Linked DNA regions of Arabidopsis thaliana. The protein of the gene in region 1 purifies or fractionates together with the protein of each later gene. This does not show direct contact. Each region holds a gene or a part of one and is shown on either strand. Other genes may lie near its edges. The genes, in order: MET1 and VAR2.

Region 1 (11,923 bases):
AAAGAACCATTTAATACAAAGTTCTAGCATCCTGAATTTTAACCTAGTTCTTGTATTAAAGAACCACTCGTTTGGAGTAAAGTGTCATATGCTTTTTGTGAAAGTCATCTCAAATTCTTAATGGTTATTACATAAACATAGTAAATGTGTGGAAGAATAAATGATGAGAAGGACCCATGCAAATTCCTTGGTAGTATTAAATGTTCAATGGATCTTAAGATTTTCAAAACAAAAGATATAGTATTACTTTTCCGTTTCTAGTGGGTCATATATACAAAAGCAAAACAAAACAAAAATCGTCAAAATTACGACAATGTTTTGTATAATAAGAAACCATACCCATGTGATTGGTTACAGAATACAATTCTAACTTTTTATTATTTTTAAATACGGATCTCCATTTTTTTTTTTAAATAGCTTGAAAGTATTTGGGATATAGATTATAGACTAACCGAAAAGAAGGTAGAAAGAGACAAGAGAGTGAAGAAGCATTGAATCAACCAAAACACTAACACTAGAACACCTTTTCTCTTGAAACACTAAAAACTAAAGTCACTTCACCAATGTCTAACAAGAGCATATCTCCAATTTTCCCAATGCTCCAATCTCAACATTTTAGCGATTATGGCTTCGATCCCCAGATCCATTACTTTCAGGTTCTCTTCTTCTTCTTCTTCCACATTGTTCCTAGGGTTTCGATATAAAGCTAACTCTGTTTTTTTTTGTTTTTGTATATCTTAAGGTTTTGGAAGAAGCAAAGAAACACAAGTCTTCCTCCATTGACACATTTCAGTTCAAACTTCAAAAACCTATCTCGAAAGACGATTTGATCCGAACCACTCTCCACAACAAGAACAAGAACAAGAAGCGTTGGTTATGGTGCAAGAACGCTTTGTTCTTCTTTAAGTGGCGGAAATGGCCAATCTCCTCTGCCGTCGTTGGAAGATGCTCCGGCGAAAACGACGGAGACAATGAGTTCGACGATCGTAGCGATGTTCATTTTGCTAGAGCTAGAAATTTTCGAGCTGGTTCGATATCAGGTCCGGTTTACGTGACAGAGAGTTGGAGCGGTTCGAGTACACCATACCGGCCGATGACTACGACGTCGGCAGTTCAGTATTTGAGTCTACGGGAGCTTAATATGGAGCGACAGCAGAGGATCACTACCTCTTCTTCTATGTCCGGTCCAATTTACTTGGTCACGTGAATAAAAACATCAATTTGCAGAATTATCCTTTTATAGGATCAAAAAAGGAAAAAGAAATTAATAAGATTTGTTTTGGGAGGTGTGGAAGATAAGTTTAGATTTGGTTTGTGGGCCTAATGGGCCCAATTGTTTTATAGGATATGATGAGTCCATTACATAAGTGTGACTGGGTAGCTTAAGGTAATAATAACCAGCTCCCGTTATTTGTTGTTTCTTTCCGTTGGTTGATGCGAGATAATTATAAACTGTTTTAGGTGTTTTTTATTTACCTAATTTTTATAATATTGAAGTTTATATTATTATTAACTGTTGTACAGTGCATTTTTCAAGAGTCTAAAATTGATAGATGACTGAAACCTTTACATGTTCTGGACAAACTTTATTTCGACGCAATATCATTGAAACTGTCTCTCATATCTTTAAATTTTCGACGCAATATTATTTCAACCCAATTCACAAGGCAAATAAATCATAGTCTATAGACATCATTGCTTGCTTGTATAATGAGATTTTTCAATCCGAATACGGAATATACAAAAACTCTTCGTAGGCTTTCTTTATCAAAAGTATCAGCACCAATGAGTTTCATTCAAGACAAGGATCATAATGACTAATATTATTGAAAAAGGAAATGCCAAATTTGGGTGGTTATCTAGGGTTGGTGTTGAGGAGACTTCTTGAGATGTAGGGCTTCTTTGAGCTTACGACCTAGAGCAAATGCCAATGGTGGAGGGACTGCATTCCCAATCTGCCTGTGCTTGTGATTTATGTTCCCTGCAAACTCGTAGCTATCCGGAAACCCCTGCAGTTTTCATTAACAACAATTTCGCTTAAAAGGCCATATCGATAAAGCTAACATTACTACTCTATCTCCCAAAACCATTCAGTGCTTTGCAATCTCTAAGTCTGTAACTGATGCTATAGGACTGACTGGGAACAGAAGAGTTTTTCTTACCTGAGATCGGGCGCATTCACGGACTGTAAGGATTCTGTGCTGTTCAGGATGAAAGCACATTCCAACCTTACCCATGGGCTGAGGATCCGTGACGGAAGTCGGAAAGTTTCCTTGCCAATCTAATCTCCCATATAGTCCCTTCCAACCGTTGTGGCGCTCAGCTGTGTTTGGGAGACAAAAAGGAATCATTTCTTCTACGCGCCCATCAGATAACGTAACCTGTGATATTAAAACAAAGCGATTTGGGTTGATTTCTAGTTTCAAAAGCAATTCTTTTGACCGTAGTCAACCTGACAAAGGTATTCCTGAGGTAGGATGTATAAGACTGACCTTTCTCTTTGGCAAGTCATGCCAATCAGCCCCAGGCCTAGTTGGGATTAATTTGCATCGAATGAGGTTAAGCTCATTCATAGCCTTGCAGATATGATCAGTGAGAGCAATCGTGTTTCCTCTTATCTCCTTTTGGAACCACGAGACTGCAACCTCTTTATACTGCAAGAAACAAGAATTTCCCCCACATAAATTAATAAATTAATGGGTTCACGTCATTTGTGTTTAGCAAATATGTATGTATAGATATTTTCTCCAGATGTGTTATCATACCTCTTTGTTTGTCCTAGAGTCTCCGTTTTCTACTGATGGAAGATCACCAATTGTGTCTCTCACGGTGATTGGACGGAAAGGGGCACCAAGTGCAGTACTACGAACAGCAGCATAATGTAAACCTTGAGATAGTGAGATTTTCAACTTTGGAACACCAAAGACATGCATCGGCTCAGGCCATTCAGGGAGAACTTCTTCTGGTGCAGCAGCCCAAATGAAAGCTCGTTTACGAGATTGGGATACTCCATATGCACCGGCCTCCAGGATTCCAAATCTCACCTGGGAAACATCATAGAAACATCATATTTAAGAGATTTAAGTCAATTTTTGTACTTCGCAAACCATTCTTCACAGAGCATGCCAACTTCTACTAAAGAGAAATCAATTTAACAAAAGCGTTAGGACTTTACCTGGTAACCCATTTCGAGAAGGGAAGCCAAAGTAAGCTGAAATGTCTGCCCTTTATTGAATGACACAAAGGTCCTCACGTTCTCCAGAAGAAAATACCTTGGCCGGAAATAGTCAGCAAAGGACAAGAATGCTAATATCATTTCACACTGAACTTTACTCCAAGAGCTTTGGTTGAACCTGTTCATACCAGAAAATCCCTGCCAAATTGCACAGGTTAAGGGCTTTTCACTTATTCAACGAAAAATTTACACAAGTATAGCCACAATCTGAAATATATACCTGACATGGAGGTCCACCATTGATGAAGTCCACTTGACCAGGCAGTGGCAGAGTACTCTTCTGCTCCTCAGTTAGTTTAGCTGCTAATTCATTTGCCTCTGTAGTAGAGACACAATCATCTTGATCTCCACCTTTCTCCATTATAGCCCTGCAATTAATCACAACAACTGATCACAATGCAAAAAATAGCCACACTAAAAGAGTAAGCGATAACTTGTTGGCTATTTACCTAAGAATCACATTGCAGTTGTCAACAAAAACTGTTGACTCAGGATGGTTTTGTTTAAAAGCCTGCCCAGCTGGCTCTTCATACTCAATCGCCCACTTTGCATCAGATACACCTTTTACATATAGCATGAATATTAATACAACTTATTCAAGCATTTTGGAAGATTAAGAGTTGACTGGATATAATACATACCCGCCTTTTTCAGTCCATGAGACAGGCCACCACAACCAGCAAAAATATCTAGAGTAGCCAGACGAATCTCTTTAGGTGGCTCAACAGGCTTGACAATCTCAGACTCAATTTCACTCTCTACTCCCTTTCCCTTTTTCTTTCTTAAAAGTGTGTCGTCCTTAATAGTAGAGAACTTTGGCTTCATATTGGCGGGCAGCTGTTACAAGACAGTATAGAGAAAAAGTTCAACTTTGTATCAGAACAACAATAATCATAACATATAAATCCTAGACACAACTATATGAATTCCTTAAGAAACTAGGTACACAAATAATTGACAAATACGAAGTGAAGAGAGGTATATACCTGCTTGAGAGAACCTTTGGAGGTGTCAAAGAAAAGATCACAGAAGAAAATATGGTCTGATATTGGATATTCACGGGATAAGGGCATATCACTTTTCTTTCTTACTTCACATTTTCCCTCTAGAGCACCTGGAGGGAGAACAACTGTGTCCTGGCTGAAATACAACTTAAGAAATTGCAAAAAGAAAGAAAAAAGATTGTCAGATAAACTTATGAAGAAACCTCACCACTGAACACATTACCAGATATAAAAAATAGTTCTTACTTCTTGGATGTCTGAAGCATAGGCCTTCTCTGCAGAAACATCCTCAGGCCTATAAAACCTTCTCACTTTAACATCAAAGGAACCCAAATCAGCCTTTCTAGATTCCTTTGGAACAATTTCCAGCAATTGGCAAACAACATACGCTCTTAACCCAATGTTTCGCCCAGACTTAAAAGAAGTTTTACTACCCTCCTTCAACCCACCAATAGAGTCAGGGTTGACATAGACAAAATCCTCAACAGAATACTCAATCCCATTGATGAAAAAGCCTGTCTTTGAAACATTTAGTTTAATTGTAGACCTCTTCTCTTCATCCTCCCTTATCTTACATGAAGTGCAGAACCCAGAACTGCGACCAATATCACTTAGTGGAAGACTAAAGAATCCCCCTCTCTCAGGTGAGTACAAGCTTTTGCAGTAATACTCTGTTGGCAAATCTTTTACTTTTCTTTCTAATGCTCTAGCCCAGTCAAGCTTATCCGCAGTGATGTTCTTTTTCCTATACTGATGCCCCCATGGCCTTGATCGAATCTCAAAACTGGCTACTCCTTTAATGTCCTTGAGCTGTGTAGTCATGCATTCATTAGTCAGGAATAGTTCCCTCTCGTTAGCAGCATTCCCCAGAACAGTCATAGATCCTCTTTGTAAGAATCTACCATGTAACATTTTGCAGTGATCTGTACTTTCGAACATGTACTCCACAAAATAGATGGCCGGCATTTCATCTGGATCATCAACTTCCAAGGTGACAGCGCCACCTACAGCCACCATTTCCCCTCCAACAAGGGCTTGTTGATAGAGAGGCTCGCCAGCAGAAGTTTTTCCTAGACTCTCACCATCCCATTTTATTTCCCTTTTTCCAGAACTGCCTCGGATTTTCTTAGGAGTATGAGGCTTCTGAACCTCAACAGGTTCTGGTACAGTGTCCTCTGTGAGACCATTTTCACCTTCCTCTTCAACCTCTTCCTCCCCATTTCCGCCTTCCTCTTCCACCTCATCCTCCCCATTTTCTGCAGCAGTCGCCTGCAATGGATCCTCTGGAGAGTAATTGGAGTAAAACTCTCCCCAAATTCTGTTGACCAGGCGAGTTGTTGTTGCTTGCATAGCTTTCCTCTTCGATGCTACTGGTGCCATGCCTGCCCTTGGATTCAGATTCAGTTCCTTCAGCGAAATTTTCTTCTTCTTGATGATCCATTTTGTGTGGTGCCTATCCTCCAATTTGCTTGCAAGACCAACAACAAATGGACACCTTTTGACATTGTCGTCCGGATAAACTGCAAAAAGCTGTAAAATAATTTGCCCATGGACGACCAAATATCTCTCAACAGCCAAGGGGTCAGAAGAAATGTAAGCTTTATCATTCGCCTGTAACCCAGACAGTCTTTTTGTGACATCTGCAAATGAAAGCCTAGCAACCCTACTTTCCACCCTAAGAAAAGTAAGAATGCTTATCCCAACCCTTGCTGTTTTCAGAACAGGTTTCCACCAAGGGGCATAAAGTTTTGATGGTTTCCCAAGACGGTACCTGTATATACCTTATACATCAGCAACAGAAGAAAAAACAGACGTAGAAACATGCGAGTACAAAATACTAGGATAGTAAGCTTACCAGGCCACATCTGTTCGTATAGAAATGGAGATAATATCATCGCTCCCAAACTCAATCATCCATTCTTTAATTTGACTGAGGAATATGCACATCCCATCAGGATCGTGTGACTGAGAACCGCTGTCAGGATCGTTTAAAGAAATCCAACTTCCATTATCATCAGTCACCACACCTGACCCAAAAATGTTGACATCAATATCATCACATTGTTTCATCGGTAGAAGTTCCAGTGATATGAATCGTAAATCAGAGTTATAAAGAGCCCAGTTGTGAAGCATCCTGTGAGGCAGGTGTTCAGATTGAACCTCATAGGAAGCATCATAAAGTATAAGTTCATCTGTTTCTTCTTCGGAGGTCTTATAGTACGATGGGAGAGGATAATCATTGGCAATCTCATCTTCATTTATCTTAATGTAGAACATATTTGAAGCAGAACCTGAGCTGCTGTTTTTTCTGGGCTGTTGCATAGATTTCCTATTCTCTTCGTCTTGTAAGAGTATAGCATATCTTCTGTCATCATCAGTACCATCAACCAGTTGATCAGATGTCAAGGCCTCGCTCTCCGCAACTTGAGAAACTTCTTTAATCCTCACACCATTAGATGGGTTTCTTTCCCTCTGCAGAGGCTTGTCAATCTTACTACTCTTCTCTCTGAGAGCTACAAGAACAGGAATCTCAACATAGCTTGATTCATGTTTCTTGGCTGTCTCATCCAAACCAGCGAGTTGGTTATATATAAAATCTCCCTGGGATATAACAAAATCGATGATTGCCGCACCACTAGAAAAGTACTTGCTTCCACTGCTCATTGATCTGACAACCGCCGCAAGTAACTCCTCAAGACCTATATCAGGATCCCCACCAGATGACTTGGACAATTTCTTATACACAGCCACTGAAGCACGAGCTTTCTCATAGAAGTAATCATAAACCTTCCTGTAGCTAGCAGCAGGTTTACGACAATCATAATCCGCCAATTCCGTTGAGATCCAAATAACAGGGGAACCATCTTCATAACCAGAGATACTCCAATGCTCAACCCGTCCAAACGATGTACACCTCACACCCTTCTCTTTCTCCTTATCAGTACACACATCTGAAGGTAAGATAGCACCTGAAACGAATATGTCATGAATCTCCAACATCTCCAGAGGTTGTGGAACTCCATCTGAATCAAACAAAACAAAATCATTCAGTCTCCTGGTTGGACGATCTTCAACATCAGTTTCCAGAGCCGTTAACCGTAACGCGAGAAACTCTTCCTCCACAATCTGCTGTTTCTTTACTTCAATAGTAGCAGATTTCTCACAGACTCGAATAGATTTCTCCTTGAAACTGGTACACGCTGCAGCACGCCTTGGTCTCCTCGTCCTAGGTACATCTTCTACCTCTTGAATCTCTGGAAGTGGTCTCTTCTTTCGCTTCGCAGCTTTAGCCCCATTTTCCACCATTTTCAAAATCCCTAGTTTCAAAATCAAAATTACCAACAAAATCATCACTATAACGCAATTGGACTATAAAATTTTCACACAAATCTATGTAATCGAAGCGTTCACTACATCGCATTGACTAAACCGACGCAAATAATAACAAAGCCCAGGAAAATTTCCGAGTCTAGGGTTTAACAATCACTGTAGTTAGACTGAAATCGACACAGATTATAGAGAAAAACTTACGTTGAGAAGCGAAATCTACTGGAAGATTGCGAAACCCTAATTGGTCTGAGAGATAGAGAGGTTGAAGAAAGCAGTGATGTGTGATTTGAGAGGAAGAGTGGGAGAGAGAGAGAGGGGGTAATAATAAAAGGAGACGAGACGAGGAGCGAAAACGACGCGCGGCAATAAACGGCGCTAAAAACTTTTTTAAAATGAAAACGAAATAAGAAAAAAAGCCGCGCCTGAATATTTAGGGCTACCATAAATGGCTTTTTATGATTCAATGATTTTATCTTTTGGGGAATATTCCGTATAAATAATCCTAATTTTAAGATTTTTACAGATTTGTTTCTATCTCTAATGTTTATATTCTAATATCTTTCCATCAGTCAACAGTCAAAGTATACGAGTATTATTTTGATTAAGATTTTTATTTGACTACAAAGTATAGATATTTTTTTGATAGAAAAAAGTCTGATTTTTAGACGAAATGTTGAGGGTTAACAACTTAACAATGAGATCCTCCAATAATACTTTTATGTGTGTGTTTTTTCTTATAACAAGAACAATATTTTTATTTTCAAAACTAATACTTTATCATGAAGTGTTTATCAAATGGATAATTTTAATATATATACGAAAAATCTCAAATTGGTAGGATGCCGCTATTTTAGTTAGCTCGTTAGGTTTATGATTTATAACAATATTTTTTCTTTCGAGAACTAACATTTTACCATGATCCTACTATATTATTTGGGAAGTACATTTTAAATGTAACCTTACTTTTTGTAAGTAATTACATATGTATGCCATTAGAAATAAAATTTAAAGAGTAAAGTAATTCATCTCTTTAAAAATTAAAAAGTCAAATACTAATTTAATTAATTAAATTTCATTAAAAAATGAAATACATTATTAATTTCCAAAAAATTAACCAATTAAAATCAACAAATTAGATTTAATATCTAAATTATCATATTAATTTTTTATTAATTATTATAGTTCACCTCTCATCTTTATATGATTCTATTTTTGCGAAAAAATAATATCATCGTTATAAAAAAATAATTAGAGTTTTTTCGCATATGCCATAATTTAAACTTTTAAAAACGAATATAAACTGTTCAATACATAAAAAAATATTATAACGGGTCAAAAATAGATTTAAAAAAATTTATTACTAAGTACTGGGTCATAATTTAAATATTTATATTCAATTTCATGCATATTATTTTAAGAATTTATAATCTTATATACAACAATAATTAATAACATATTAGATTTTTTTATGTGTATGATGTGATTCAATTTTTAATACAAGCTGGAAAATCCTAGAATTGACGGGTTTAAATCGATATTAATATAAGATGGTATACTACAGGTGAAACTCTAAAATTAACAATCAAAATACAAGTGTATAATTTTAAACACTAAACAATATAAATAATATCAAGAAAACATATACAACTCGCAGTTTACTATATATTTAAAATCAAATAAAATAATATCATATAATTAATATTTTGGATATTAAATTAATGTTTGGGTTTTTGAATACTCTTTTTAGATAACGGGTAATTTCCGGTCCAATCGGATATCCACGGGTTTACTAAAACTCTACCCAATAAGGAAATTTCCTAAAATTTTAACCCGCCCTAACCCGATTTTTTGGTTCGAGTATTGGGTTGGTTATCGGGTCCGTTTTTTCGTCAGCCCTATTAAAGATAATCTAATATAGGCCCCAATTAGGTCCACAAATATAACCAAAATACTATACAAAAACTAATTCTAAATTAGGCCAAAAATTAGATCCTCTAATACAAAGGAAACATGTTTCTTACCAAAATAACTTCTATACAAATTTTACACATTTACTTAAAACTACATATGTTGTATTTATTATAACAATAACATTTTTAAACAAAGTCAATCTAATGCAGCATTATATGTAAATAGTAAAACATTGAAAAATATTATGGCATCACTTTTATACTATACTATTTTTTATGTAATTCAAACAAAGTATACAATTTAATTTATACAAAATATTAATGCTCGTGCTGTATAGCACGGGTTATGATCTAGTAAATCTATTAAATGAATAATCATATGAGTTAATCAGATTTATATACATTGAAAACCTCAAATTAATATACTTATTTATCTTTCAATTTTGAGCATAGTTTGTGGGGATTTTTTTTTTTTCGCAAACTTATTTAGTTCCTTCTTATATCTTTTAATGGCATTATTAATAGAAACACAGATGACAACAACAACAAAATTCGATAATGCACGATCTACAGAGTAAAAGTTTCTATCAAGACATTAGGAAGCTCGTACAATATAAAAATTCACTACACAAAAGTCAATTTGGCCAGATTCGATTGCTCTTTATACAATCTTGTAACGTAGAGATCACCACGCTCCATCTCCACAGTCTCGGGGATCTCTCCGATCCTCTGCCAAAATAAGTAAAGGCAAACCCAAACTTAGTTTACAGAAAGGTTGTGTATATATGTGTATGGAGGGAATAAGAGAATTCTCACTCTTCGTATAGATTGAGGGAGAAAAAGTTTACCATTATAGTCATCACTAACAAAAACAACTCTAGCTACTGTGAATGGATTTTTCAACTATAATAACAAACAAGCTTAACCAACTTAGATGATGGTTCAAAGTGATTAGGTTAAGTGAAATTTTCTGTCTGTGTTGTAGAATGGTATGGTTCTCTTTAGATTCACAAAAACTAAATCAAGATATACAGTTAGTGCTTTTTTTTGTCTATTTGTGTTCTGTTTAATGCAGATATTTGTGTTCTGTTTCTATGTTTTGTATTTGTAGTTTCAAGTCCAAACTCATGTCTTTTTATAAATCTAATCGGATCATTAATCAATTTAATCTTGGTAGCTAAACCAAAAAGGTAATTATAGAATCATTGAGCATTTACAACAGAAGCATGACCAAAAAACATTCTGATGGCTCAGATTTATCAACTTCGAGCCTTATCTAGCTGGAACGGAAAAATGTTAATATCTGGAGACTACTGCTTATTCTGGTTGCCGGAAGTTTCACCTATGTGTCTTTACCAACAAACAAATACACAGAACAGATTACATTTCAACAAGCGATACTATTTTATACAATTAAACCATTTCCCCCAAAATATACCTCTGCTGCGGATGGCGATTCCAGATACTCTCAGGTAGACAACCAGTGATTGTTGTTGTTGAAAGATTTCTGTTTAACAATTCGGCATTGTCCTGCTCCAGAAGAGAGAATAACCTTTTTATGCTTGAATATAAATGGCTATAGGAAAATACAACAAGAGAGATGTGTTTTTAGTTACCGTTGGTTTCTGCAAATTCTTGTGTTGGATTCTTTTCTCGTGTACTAGTAGAAATGCGCATTTGCAAGTGAAGAACAGAAGCAAAGTAGCTAGAGAAAAGACCACGAGAGACTCCACTACAATCACAGATCCTAGAACTGCGACCAAGTGACAACACTATTAAACTATTTGAACCGGAGAAATAAGAGTGATAAGAATTAAGATATGAAACTCCTCTCTTATCACTTCTCTACCCAATATACATATGCTTATCAGAGGTGTGCCTAAGAAACAATACTAAACCAATCAAACCATTTTTTCAAGCGACACTAGAATCCAGACCACCAATCACCTAACTCTTTATTACGTGTACGTTCATATATGCATTTAATATATGATCTTCATGTTCAAAACAGATTTAGACTAAACAAAATCACACCAGATTTAACCTATCAGAACCATTAACAAACTAAAAAGCTTAATTGAAAAAAAACTGAATGGAACCACAACCAAGTATTTCATAAACGTACCGTGGGCTCCAAGGGAACTCAAGGGTCTCTTCCTAATGAGGTTTACGCGAGCTTCTGCGTGAAGAGGCAGTGAAATTCTCTCGGTACAGTCAAGGAAGCACCCGTAGTTCCCCATGTCACTCAGTTTCAAAGTCAAGACCGCACCATTCTCTCCTCCCTACACAAGATTTGTGATGATAATGTACATATGAGGAACCAAAAACATTTATCTGAATGATCAAGAAGAGAATTTACGCGATGGAGCAGCTGTTGCATGAGGTCGTTGCATTGCCTTATAGTTCCACGAAACCTGATCCCACTAGCTTTGACATTCACGTGT
Region 2 (9,337 bases), on another chromosome or scaffold:
TTCTTTGCTAACCTTCACATCATCCATCAATGCTGAGAAATCCAAGCCCTTGGTTTCTGGATGATAGTAATGATATGTCTTTTGAGGGACTTGTGCATCTTTCCAGATGTTGTGGTGGCTATTCATAAGAGAAAACATAAACCATGTTATTTTTGGGAAGCAAAAGAAGCTTGGCCACACTTACAAAGTAGACCGTTGAGGTTAACATGAGAAATGATCAAATCAACTGTAGGAAACTCACTTGGACCAGGTTGGAACAGGAATGTAGATCTGTGAACCAGGAGAAAAACGTTTCTGGAAGTCTGCAAAGAGCCGGCAGGCTCCAGTGCCAGACAGAGTCTGAACTGCAGCAATTCTTTTATCTTTGATAAATTCACTATTGTCCCCATAGGCAAGCTTCAATGTTAGGTCCACCATTTTGGCACTTCCTCCCATAGGAAGGTACTCCCTTTAGATGATTAATACAATAAAGACAGCTCAGATCAGTCTGGTGAAATATGGGACAATGAGATAATTGCTGATGTTGATCTTTTTTAATATGAAGGATACAAATTAAGCACCACATAGTCAAACACAACCATATTCAAAAGGGCTAATAAGACCTACAATATTTAACAAGTTATGTCAACAAATCACACATACTTTTCGTCAGTTACAATTCAAGAACTTCACCAACTGTACAAGAAGATTTCAAAACTTGACAATCAATTCATGTCAATGAACAGAGAAGCATTAAAGTTAGATCATTTGGGGAGAGAAAGAGAAACTCTTACATGAAAGTGCTCCCAGCAAGCCTTTTCTCAGCTTCTCTGACACATTCCAAGACAACAGGCTTCCCATTATCATCACGATATGCTCCCTTAAAATGATTTAGCCAATTCAACACATAAGTAAAGTAAACACAGATTAGCTTCATCAAAACCAAAATAAAAGCCACCATGCAAACACCAAATCAACAATCCATGTTCATCCATAGGATTAAGACCTCAATTTTGATGTAATTTCATAGATTCGTAAGATCTTGTAGTAAGCAGGGGAAAACAGAGAGTGAGAGAAAGAGAGACTCACCACACCAACATTAACTTTTTCAGGACTAGGATCAGCGAGAAAAGCTTCGGTAACTCCGAGGATCGGATCTTTAGGAGCAGGCTCAACGCTCTTCCACCATGAAGACATAGATCTCAAACCACCGAAATGACCGGAGATCGGAGTCATTCCTCGCTTCGAAGCTGCGTTTCGGATCATCATCGCCAAAGCCATAACTCTATCTCTCTATCTCTCTCTGTTTCTATCTCTTAACGTCAAAAAATCAGAAAAAGAGAGTGGTAAGGAGTTTATATATAGAGAGAGAAGTAGCGACTCGTACGAAGTTTTTGGCAGATGAGGACGAAGGAGAGTCGCACAAGTTGCTTAGAAAATGGCCTTGGTCTGTGTGTGTGTGAGAGATAAGGTTTGATTTTAATAAAATAAGCTTTACTCTAATGATAAATACTATAAAAAGTAATAAATGTTGCTTGGCTCTATGTGTCTGATTTATTTCCCTTTTAGTTAGTCTTCCAACACCTGAATCTAGTAATAAAACATTTATATTTATTTTAGAATCTTACATGTTTATGGTAGTTAATTTTTTAATTTTGACTGTTTTATCATATTATTTGTAACTTGAGTCAATTATAACAAGATGATTTCATTAGAATGTTTTGTGAACTTAAGTGCTTCCAACTTAATTATGTTTTGTGAACTTTACAACAAAATTATCAGAAAATCTCAAAAAAGTAAAGGAAGTTACGGGCCAGCCAATGGGCCTCTAAGGAAGTGCGGTATAAAAAGTTAATGCTATTGCGTAGGACCTCTCTTTTTTTACTTTTCCTTTCAGCATTTTATTACTACAGTACGCTTTTCACTATTTCAGCTTCGACGAGGTTTGTTTGTGAAGCGTGTGAAGGAAATGATTTCAATGGAGGAGAAGAACACATACGGCAAAAGAAAGACTGTTCCTCTGATTCCGGCTAACTACATCAGCATCCTTCAGCTCCAGGAGCGTTGGCTCAATGAGAAAGAGAAGAAGCGAAAGGAAGAAGAAGAGAGACGACGGAAACTACAGGCTGAGGAAGAGAAAAAGATAGAGGAAGAAGATCTGAAGAAAGCGGAGGAGGAGAAGCGTATGAATCGAAGTAATCGGAAGCATTTTGGGAGAAAAAAGGAATCTATAGACGGCGGAGAAGCACGATTCGTTGAGAAGGAGAAACCGGAAGTCACGGTGGCGATCGAGAGCGGTGGAGGTGAAGATGCGGCGGATGGATTACCGAAGAAGAAGAAGAAGAAGAATAAGGGAGCTTGGAGGAAACGATATAATAGCAAGACGAATAAAAATCAAGATGGAGCTGTGGTTGAGGATGTCATCGATTGCGGTTGTGTATCATCAATCGTGCCGCCTGAGTCCGTCGTGACGGAGAATAATACTCCGGTGAAAGATGTGGTTCCAGTTTATTGGATGAAAGCGACCAAATCTAAAGAGATTACCAAATCAATGGCCATAGAAACACAGTTTGAGAACTTCTCTATCAATAGAGGAGAAGCCAAAACTCTCAAGACACAAACCAAATGGAGATATCGTAATCGGCCAATGCCGAGAGGAGCTTCTTCTTCTACAATGGTGTGGGTGAAGAAAGAGCAGAACGAGAGAGCTGGTGATGGAATTGCAAGTGGCGTGAAGCCATTTAATGCGTAACGTTTCCTTTAAGGTTTGATAAATGTTGCTTCTTTACGGTTTCTATTTACTGATTTGGAATCAAACATTGATCTTTTAGAATATTTTGGTTTCAGGTTTTCTGCTTAGCTCTGGAATGCTACTATTCTTGGATGTTCATTGAACAGAGAGATGATGATGGTGTTGGATTAAAGACTCTGAAGCATTAGGGACTAATGGTTTGAGGTTAATTGTAAGCAAATGTACATAAGTTTGTAAGTATAAAGAACATGATTCCATAACAGTTTTTGGTGTTCTGCTTGTGCTACTTGAAAATACTTTTGAATTTCGGTTTGAGTGTTGCAAATCTGGACAATATCATAAACAAGCCTACAAATTCAATTTTTTAAACATTTACTTGTTACTAAATTTTGAGATAGTATCACATTTCTAGAGTGTAAGTTTGAAGATAAATTTACAGAAAAATTATAAGTATCACAAGTATACAGATTGATTACTTAGACAGCAGCTGGTGTTGGTGCTGATGCTGGAGTTGTCGTTGTTGAAGAAGGAACTCGGTTTTCCGGGGGGATCTCAGTAAACTCGGAAAGAATTGCCCTGAATTCGTCACCGCCAATAGTTTCTTTCTCGAGAAGCACTTCAACGAGCTTATCCATGGCTTCACGATTGTTCTTTATGTGGCTTAGAGCTATCTCATATGCACTGTCTGATAGTTTCTTCACCGCAGAATCAATGTCTTCTGCAAGCTTCTCAGACATGGAGTTTCTTGCCATCATTCTCATGATGACATCGCTTTGTGCCGAAGAATCCATCAAAGACCATGGTCCAATATCAGACATTCCAAATGTTGTTACCATCTGCAAAGTAAAAATATTCAACAGTCTCAAACACTCAGTTTCATCAACTAGTAAAAGATCAAACTTATCATCAGGCTCCAGCATAACTAATGTGAAGCTGAACGTGTCGCGTACCTGTCTAGCCAAACCGGTGATCTGTTGTAAGTCACCAACTGCGCCAGTAGTCACCTCGGAATCACCAAAGATGATTTCTTCAGCGGCCCTACCACCGAGTCCACCAACAATTCTTGCAAAGAGTTGCTGCTTGGAGATGAGTGTCGGGTCATCTGATGGAATGAACCAAGTCAGACCTCTTGCTTGGCCTCTTGGTATCAACGTTACCTTTTGCACAGCATCATGTCCTGGAGTCAATGTTCTGTAAAAAACCAAAGTTTATAACTTTAAAGTAAGTTTTTGATAGTAATAATATACAGACAGGCTTTTAATATGTTTCTCACTTACCCACACACTGCATGACCAACTTCATGGTAAGCTACCAAGCTTTTGCTCTTGCCATCGGTCATCACTGTTCCTTCCATGCCAGCAACGATTCTATCAATGGAGTCATCAATCTCTTTAGATGATATCGATGTCCGTGCTCGCCTTCCGGCCAATATAGCAGCCTCATTCAAGAGGTTAGCGAGATCTGCTCCGCTAAATCCAGGTGTTCTCATTGCTATTATTTCAAGTGAAACATCATTGTCGAACTTCTTATTGCCGGCATGAACCTTGAGAATATCTGTTCTCCCCTTAACGTCAGGAACGTCAACACTTACCTGCACCAGAAATTATAAGTAAGCACAAGCTCTAGGAGTAGTACAGGATTACAAAACATATCAATGTGTAATAATCAGATAGTACCTGCCGGTCAAACCGTCCTGGCCTCAACAAAGCAGAGTCAAGAATGTCTGCTCTATTGGTTGCAGCAACTACGATAACACCAGTGTTACCTTCAAAACCATCCATCTCAGTTAGGAGCTGATTGAGGGTCTGTTCTCTTTCATCATTACCTCCACCAATTCCGGTTCCTCTTTGCCTACCAACAGCATCTATTTCATCTACAAAGACAATGCAAGGAGCGTTCTCCTTGGCTTTCTTGAAAAGATCACGGACTCTCGAGGCACCAACACCGACAAACATCTCAACAAACTCAGAACCAGAGATGGAGAAGAAAGGCACACCAGCTTCACCAGCAATGGCTTTTGCCAAAAGGGTTTTCCCGGTACCAGGAGGACCAATAAGAAGAACACCTTTCGGGATCTTGGCACCAACCGCAGTGAATCTCTCAGGTTTCTTCAAAAACTCCACCACTTCCATGAAATCTTGCTTTGCTTCATCAACTCCAGCAACATCATCAAATGTTACACCAGTGTTAGGTTCCATTTGGAACTTTGCTTTGGACTGACCAAACTGAAGTGGGTTACCAGGACCACCAGGTCCACCCATTCCACCACCAGACCGTCTCGAAAGAAGGAACAAACCACCAATCAAAAGCGCCGGGAAAGCAAGATTACCAATCAAGTTGAATAACACAGAACCTTGATCTTCCTGAGCATTATGTGCTGCAAAATCAATATTCTTAGCCCTAAGCTTCTGTAGAAGCTCTTGACTTAAACCCGGTAGCTGAACACGTACTCTCTCAACCCGGTTACCCAATTCAGGAGAAACAGCTTCCACAATAGCTATAGTCCCATTCTCATACAAATCAACTTTATTCACCCTATCCTTATCCAAGTACTCTAGAAACCTAGAATACGACATCCTCGACGAAGAAACACCTTGTTCATCAGCATTTGCTTTCCCACTTGCAACCAAACCGACCCCAGCATTTCCTAACAAGATTTTGAGAAAATCTCTTCTTCCTTCTTGCTTCTTCTTCCCATCCAAAGAAGCCTTCACTACATTAACCTTAGATGTCCTAATCACTGAAGAAAAGCTTGTCTGTCTGCCGGAAAAATGTTTACTTAACCTCTGTTTGGTTGTTGTGTTCACTGACAAACCATTTCCCACAAGACAAGCTGATGAAGCTGCCATCTGAAAATTCATCAAAGAAGAAAAATTAATTAGATGATATATCAAATCCCATGAACGATGAGACAGAACAAGCAAGTTTCTTACAAGTACAAGAACCTAACCCTCAGATCAAAGGAACAGTAAACATACTTCGAGTTCTTAATTCAGTGAATTAGAAATCAAGGAACTAAAACTAACACAAAGCGACGAAATCAGAATTTGCCGAAGAAAACCCAGTCAGAGTTATGCAGCGACGGAGATTATAAAAGAATCTAACCAAAGAGAAGAGGTAGAAGACAAACCTGTATCGATTACAGATGAGAGTTGTATAGGGAAGGAGAATCTCGAGCTCTGCAAATATGGAGGATGGAGAGAAAGAGAGGAGAATAGTGCAAGGGACTTGGAGATTTTTTTTTAAGGGAACAGATGTGGTTCGTGAAGAACTTACGTGTCCTTCATTGAGTGGTTTAATTTAATTACCCGAATCTAACCAAAAACTGAATTGGTATCCAAACCAAAATTGGTTTACTCGACGATTTTCAATTACTGTACATATGAATTTCTCTGTTATGTTATGTATTCTCTTGCAATTTGTATATTACACATTTTATTTTATTTTTGTAGTACTCTCAGAGCAACCACATTGGTTAGTTTCTAAGTAAGGTTTCTATGTATTTTTTATTAATTAATTTTGATATTTTTGTAGTTTAGAGATTTTGTAGAGTTTTTGAAAAATTTTTGGTCCATTAAAAAAATCCTTAAGTGAGTTTCTAATAAAACTAAAAAAAAATTTTGAAAAAAATGTGAAAGTGTTTGGGATACATTTGACTCTCAAAACTTGACACAGACTCTACGCTCTCAAAACTTGATACACTCACAAAATTCGACACACAAACTCAAGTGCATCTTCACACGACCATAGCCTATACACTTATACACAGAACAGAACAACACTTGCATGTGCTTGCTATTTATGCTTCCTTGAACTCTTGCATCTCGACAGGGACATCATCCTTAAAACGAAGTTGAAATTCATTTAGAACAGAACACAAACCAATCTATTGAAGTTTGAACACGAACACAAACCAATTAGAACAGAGCACAATGAAACCAATTTAGAACAGAACACAAACAACTTAAGATAATAAGATTCATAACCGAACAGAACAAAAACAAGTGAAGAAGCATTAACCGACACAAAAAGACTAACTTTCAAGACATAAAAGGCACCATTCAAGCATTTGACAACATGTCAGTGATAAGTTTGTTCTTTAAAGCCATTTCAAGATCACTAAGCGGCCCTGTAAGGTATGTAAAAGTATATAGAAGATGACACAAAGTAACATAAAGACAGAATAACAAACAAGATCTGTCATTCTACAGTTGGTTTCAATCGCGTGCTTACAAGTTTGAACCTCAATAGAAAAAGCTAAACAAAAATCAACTTGAAAGATTTTTAACTGACATTAGAAATTGTTATTACCATTTAATTGCAGAAACAAGTAGAGTGAGAAAAGTATTGTTCCAAGCTCAAGAACTTAAAGAATGTAGTCTGCAATTCTACATACACCTGAAAATGACAGCTCTCAAGATTTCAGTAAGAGTACAAATGCTTAACGGTCAATACAACAATCAAACTACTCTTCAACGTTTAGATGAGAAAGAAACACTTAACAGTAATGTGTCACATAAGGACCATATAACCGAAAATAATGGCATATGGACCAATTGTTCATCAAAAGCCATAAAAGAAATGCATAAACCAATCTAATAATATTCTAGTTACTAGTCTCTATACTTACTAAGCACTATAAAAAACAGAGGCTTTTCCATGAGAATTGCAATTCTTCTTCGATAGCAGAAGCATGGTCATGTTCATGTGAATAAACGTATAAACCTTAACATACTTTATGCAGATATTCTATAATTTCTTAAACAACAGAAGTTTAAAACAATGCGTAGAGAACACCACAATTCCAAACAATGCGTAGAGAAAAGGCTATAATTGTTGTGAAAGTTAAGCAAGTTATTGTATGATCGATCAATGACAAGAGAGACACTCACCGGAATTCTATCTGGATACTTCTCTTTAATCCAAGCAGCCTCCACCCTACTCTTTTCTGAAGCTTTTTGCCACTCCTTTCGATTTGGTTCGAAGAATCAATTTAGTGAACAACCTCGTCGTCGATCATCATCCCGGCGGTTGAAAATTGAGTACATAGCGGTTGAAAATTGAGTACATGTGGCTCTTGTCTCCCGATTTCATGGTCGATACGCCGAAGTTTGTAATCGAAAGGGATCGATTGGAATCACCTAATTTTCGTCGGAGAACCAAAAGAAAAGAGAAAGGACAAGAGGAAAGAGAAACACGCTTTTTTCTTTTTTGTTTTTTTTGTCTAAATTTTCATCCTATCATTTCTAGCCACGTCACTGTTTCTAAACACTTCAGAAAATCCTAAAAATCCTAAAATAGGAACGATCCTAACAATTTTATTGGGTTTTCCTTTATTTTTGGACTTTTATTCTTTAGGATTTTAGATTAGAAACCCATTAGAAACACTGATGGACATGGTCTCTTACTAACAGTACCGAGAAAACACCTGGAAACTTTGAGGTTATGGACTCTAAACATCAAAAGATGCAAGTAATATGGTTTGGCCCTGTGTCAAAAATTTGAAGTGGAGGAAATAGAATCGAACAAAGGATGTCCATTCCAAAATAACCATAGGAATAAATGATCTATGAACAGTTTACATGATCAGGAATCGTGGCAAAGAAGGAGGTGCAAGCAAAGCAGAACATAGGAGTTTGTTGGCGCAAGTCTCAGATAACCATGTGGGTTTCACGATTCCATGGCGTGATGATTATGACCTGGTTTCATGAAAGATGCCTGTGGAATAAGAAGGATTTAACATAATTAAGCAGTGCATAACAACGCAAGAGGCTTATCAAGAAAGTGATTTCAAATGTTTCTTCTGAGCATACTTAACACACAACCTAAGTTCAAATCCCCAAAGAATCTGTTTGAAGTCGCTCTGCTCTGTGTTAAGAGAATTGAATGCATAAGATAGAGCAAACTCTAGCAACCCTCTAAATCCGTTATAAGCACAGAGATCAAAGGAACATAACATTCAATGTAGTTCATTAACAATCGGATGATATAGAATATCAAATGTGATGTAAAATCCACAAACCCTCTTGATATCTTTAATCAATAGAACATAGATACATATACACACACTAACTAGAGATAGAAACTAGTAAAACATATAAGCAAAACAAGGATTTGAGATGGTGACAAAACCCAAACCTAAATCAAACTAAAGCTATACATTAAGACCATTAAAGTTACCTCTTGCAAAGCTCGGAAAAGTAACGAGATCCATTGTACAGAATAAACCACATCAAGATTAACACTAAAGAATCTGAAAGAAAAAAACAGAGTTAAGGAAAATGGCAAGAGCTCTGGTTTTTGTTTTTGCTGGACAAAACTTGTAAATTTGAAACTTCATAGACATTGTCAAATCCAGAATAGAATCTCAAAAAATTAAACTTTTCTAACAAAAGATAACGCAGCTAAAGAAGCTGAACAAATAAAAATTCAACCTTTTAACCGAATAAGATAAGATTCGCAACAACAAAAAAAGTTCAAATAGATCAAAGAGAAAAGGATACTGAATAGGTATCGTTCCCACCAATCGAGCATGTAAAGCCCGAAGGTGACGTTGTAAAGGTAGATTTTTCGTTGAACCCAGTTCATATCTAGTCGAATCCGATT

Evidence for each region.
Region 2: the proteins of MET1 (region 1) and VAR2 purify together in Arabidopsis thaliana (affinity purification with mass spectrometry, with the first as the bait; one study listed by BioGRID). This does not show direct contact.

What each region holds. Positions count from the first base shown.
Region 1 is NC_003076.8:19,928,123-19,940,045, reverse strand, and holds MET1 (methyltransferase 1), read right to left. Parts: upstream 7,933-11,923; 5' UTR 7,771-7,932; intron 7,557-7,770; 5' UTR 7,546-7,556; coding exon 6,095-7,545; intron 6,011-6,094; coding exon 4,486-6,010; intron 4,387-4,485; coding exon 4,222-4,386; intron 4,073-4,221; coding exon 3,877-4,072; intron 3,797-3,876; coding exon 3,685-3,796; intron 3,604-3,684; coding exon 3,456-3,603; intron 3,374-3,455; coding exon 3,176-3,373; intron 3,045-3,175; coding exon 2,766-3,044; intron 2,655-2,765; coding exon 2,493-2,654; intron 2,382-2,492; coding exon 2,163-2,381; intron 2,010-2,162; coding exon 1,860-2,009; 3' UTR 1,576-1,859; downstream 1-1,575. Other genes in the region: AT5G49170 (uncharacterized protein), read left to right, coding at 564-656, 743-1,207; GEX2 (gamete expressed 2), read right to left, coding at 10,790-10,829, 10,918-11,009, 11,096-11,232, 11,605-11,761, 11,839-11,923.
Region 2 is NC_003071.7:13,170,935-13,180,271, reverse strand, and holds VAR2 (FtsH extracellular protease family), read right to left. Parts: upstream 5,952-9,337; 5' UTR 5,862-5,951; exon of another isoform or gene 5,753-5,861; 5' UTR 5,593-5,752; coding exon 4,408-5,592; intron 4,323-4,407; coding exon 4,009-4,322; intron 3,923-4,008; coding exon 3,682-3,922; intron 3,568-3,681; coding exon 3,208-3,567; downstream 1-3,207. Other genes in the region: ASP1 (aspartate aminotransferase 1), read right to left, coding at 13-118, 242-448, 774-859, 1,069-1,260; AT2G30960 (myosin-M heavy chain-like protein), read left to right, coding at 1,949-2,731; AT2G30942 (transmembrane protein, putative (DUF3317)), read right to left, coding at 8,437-8,449, 8,912-8,984, 9,235-9,319. UniProt on the Arabidopsis thaliana protein: Part of a complex that function as an ATP-dependent zinc metallopeptidase.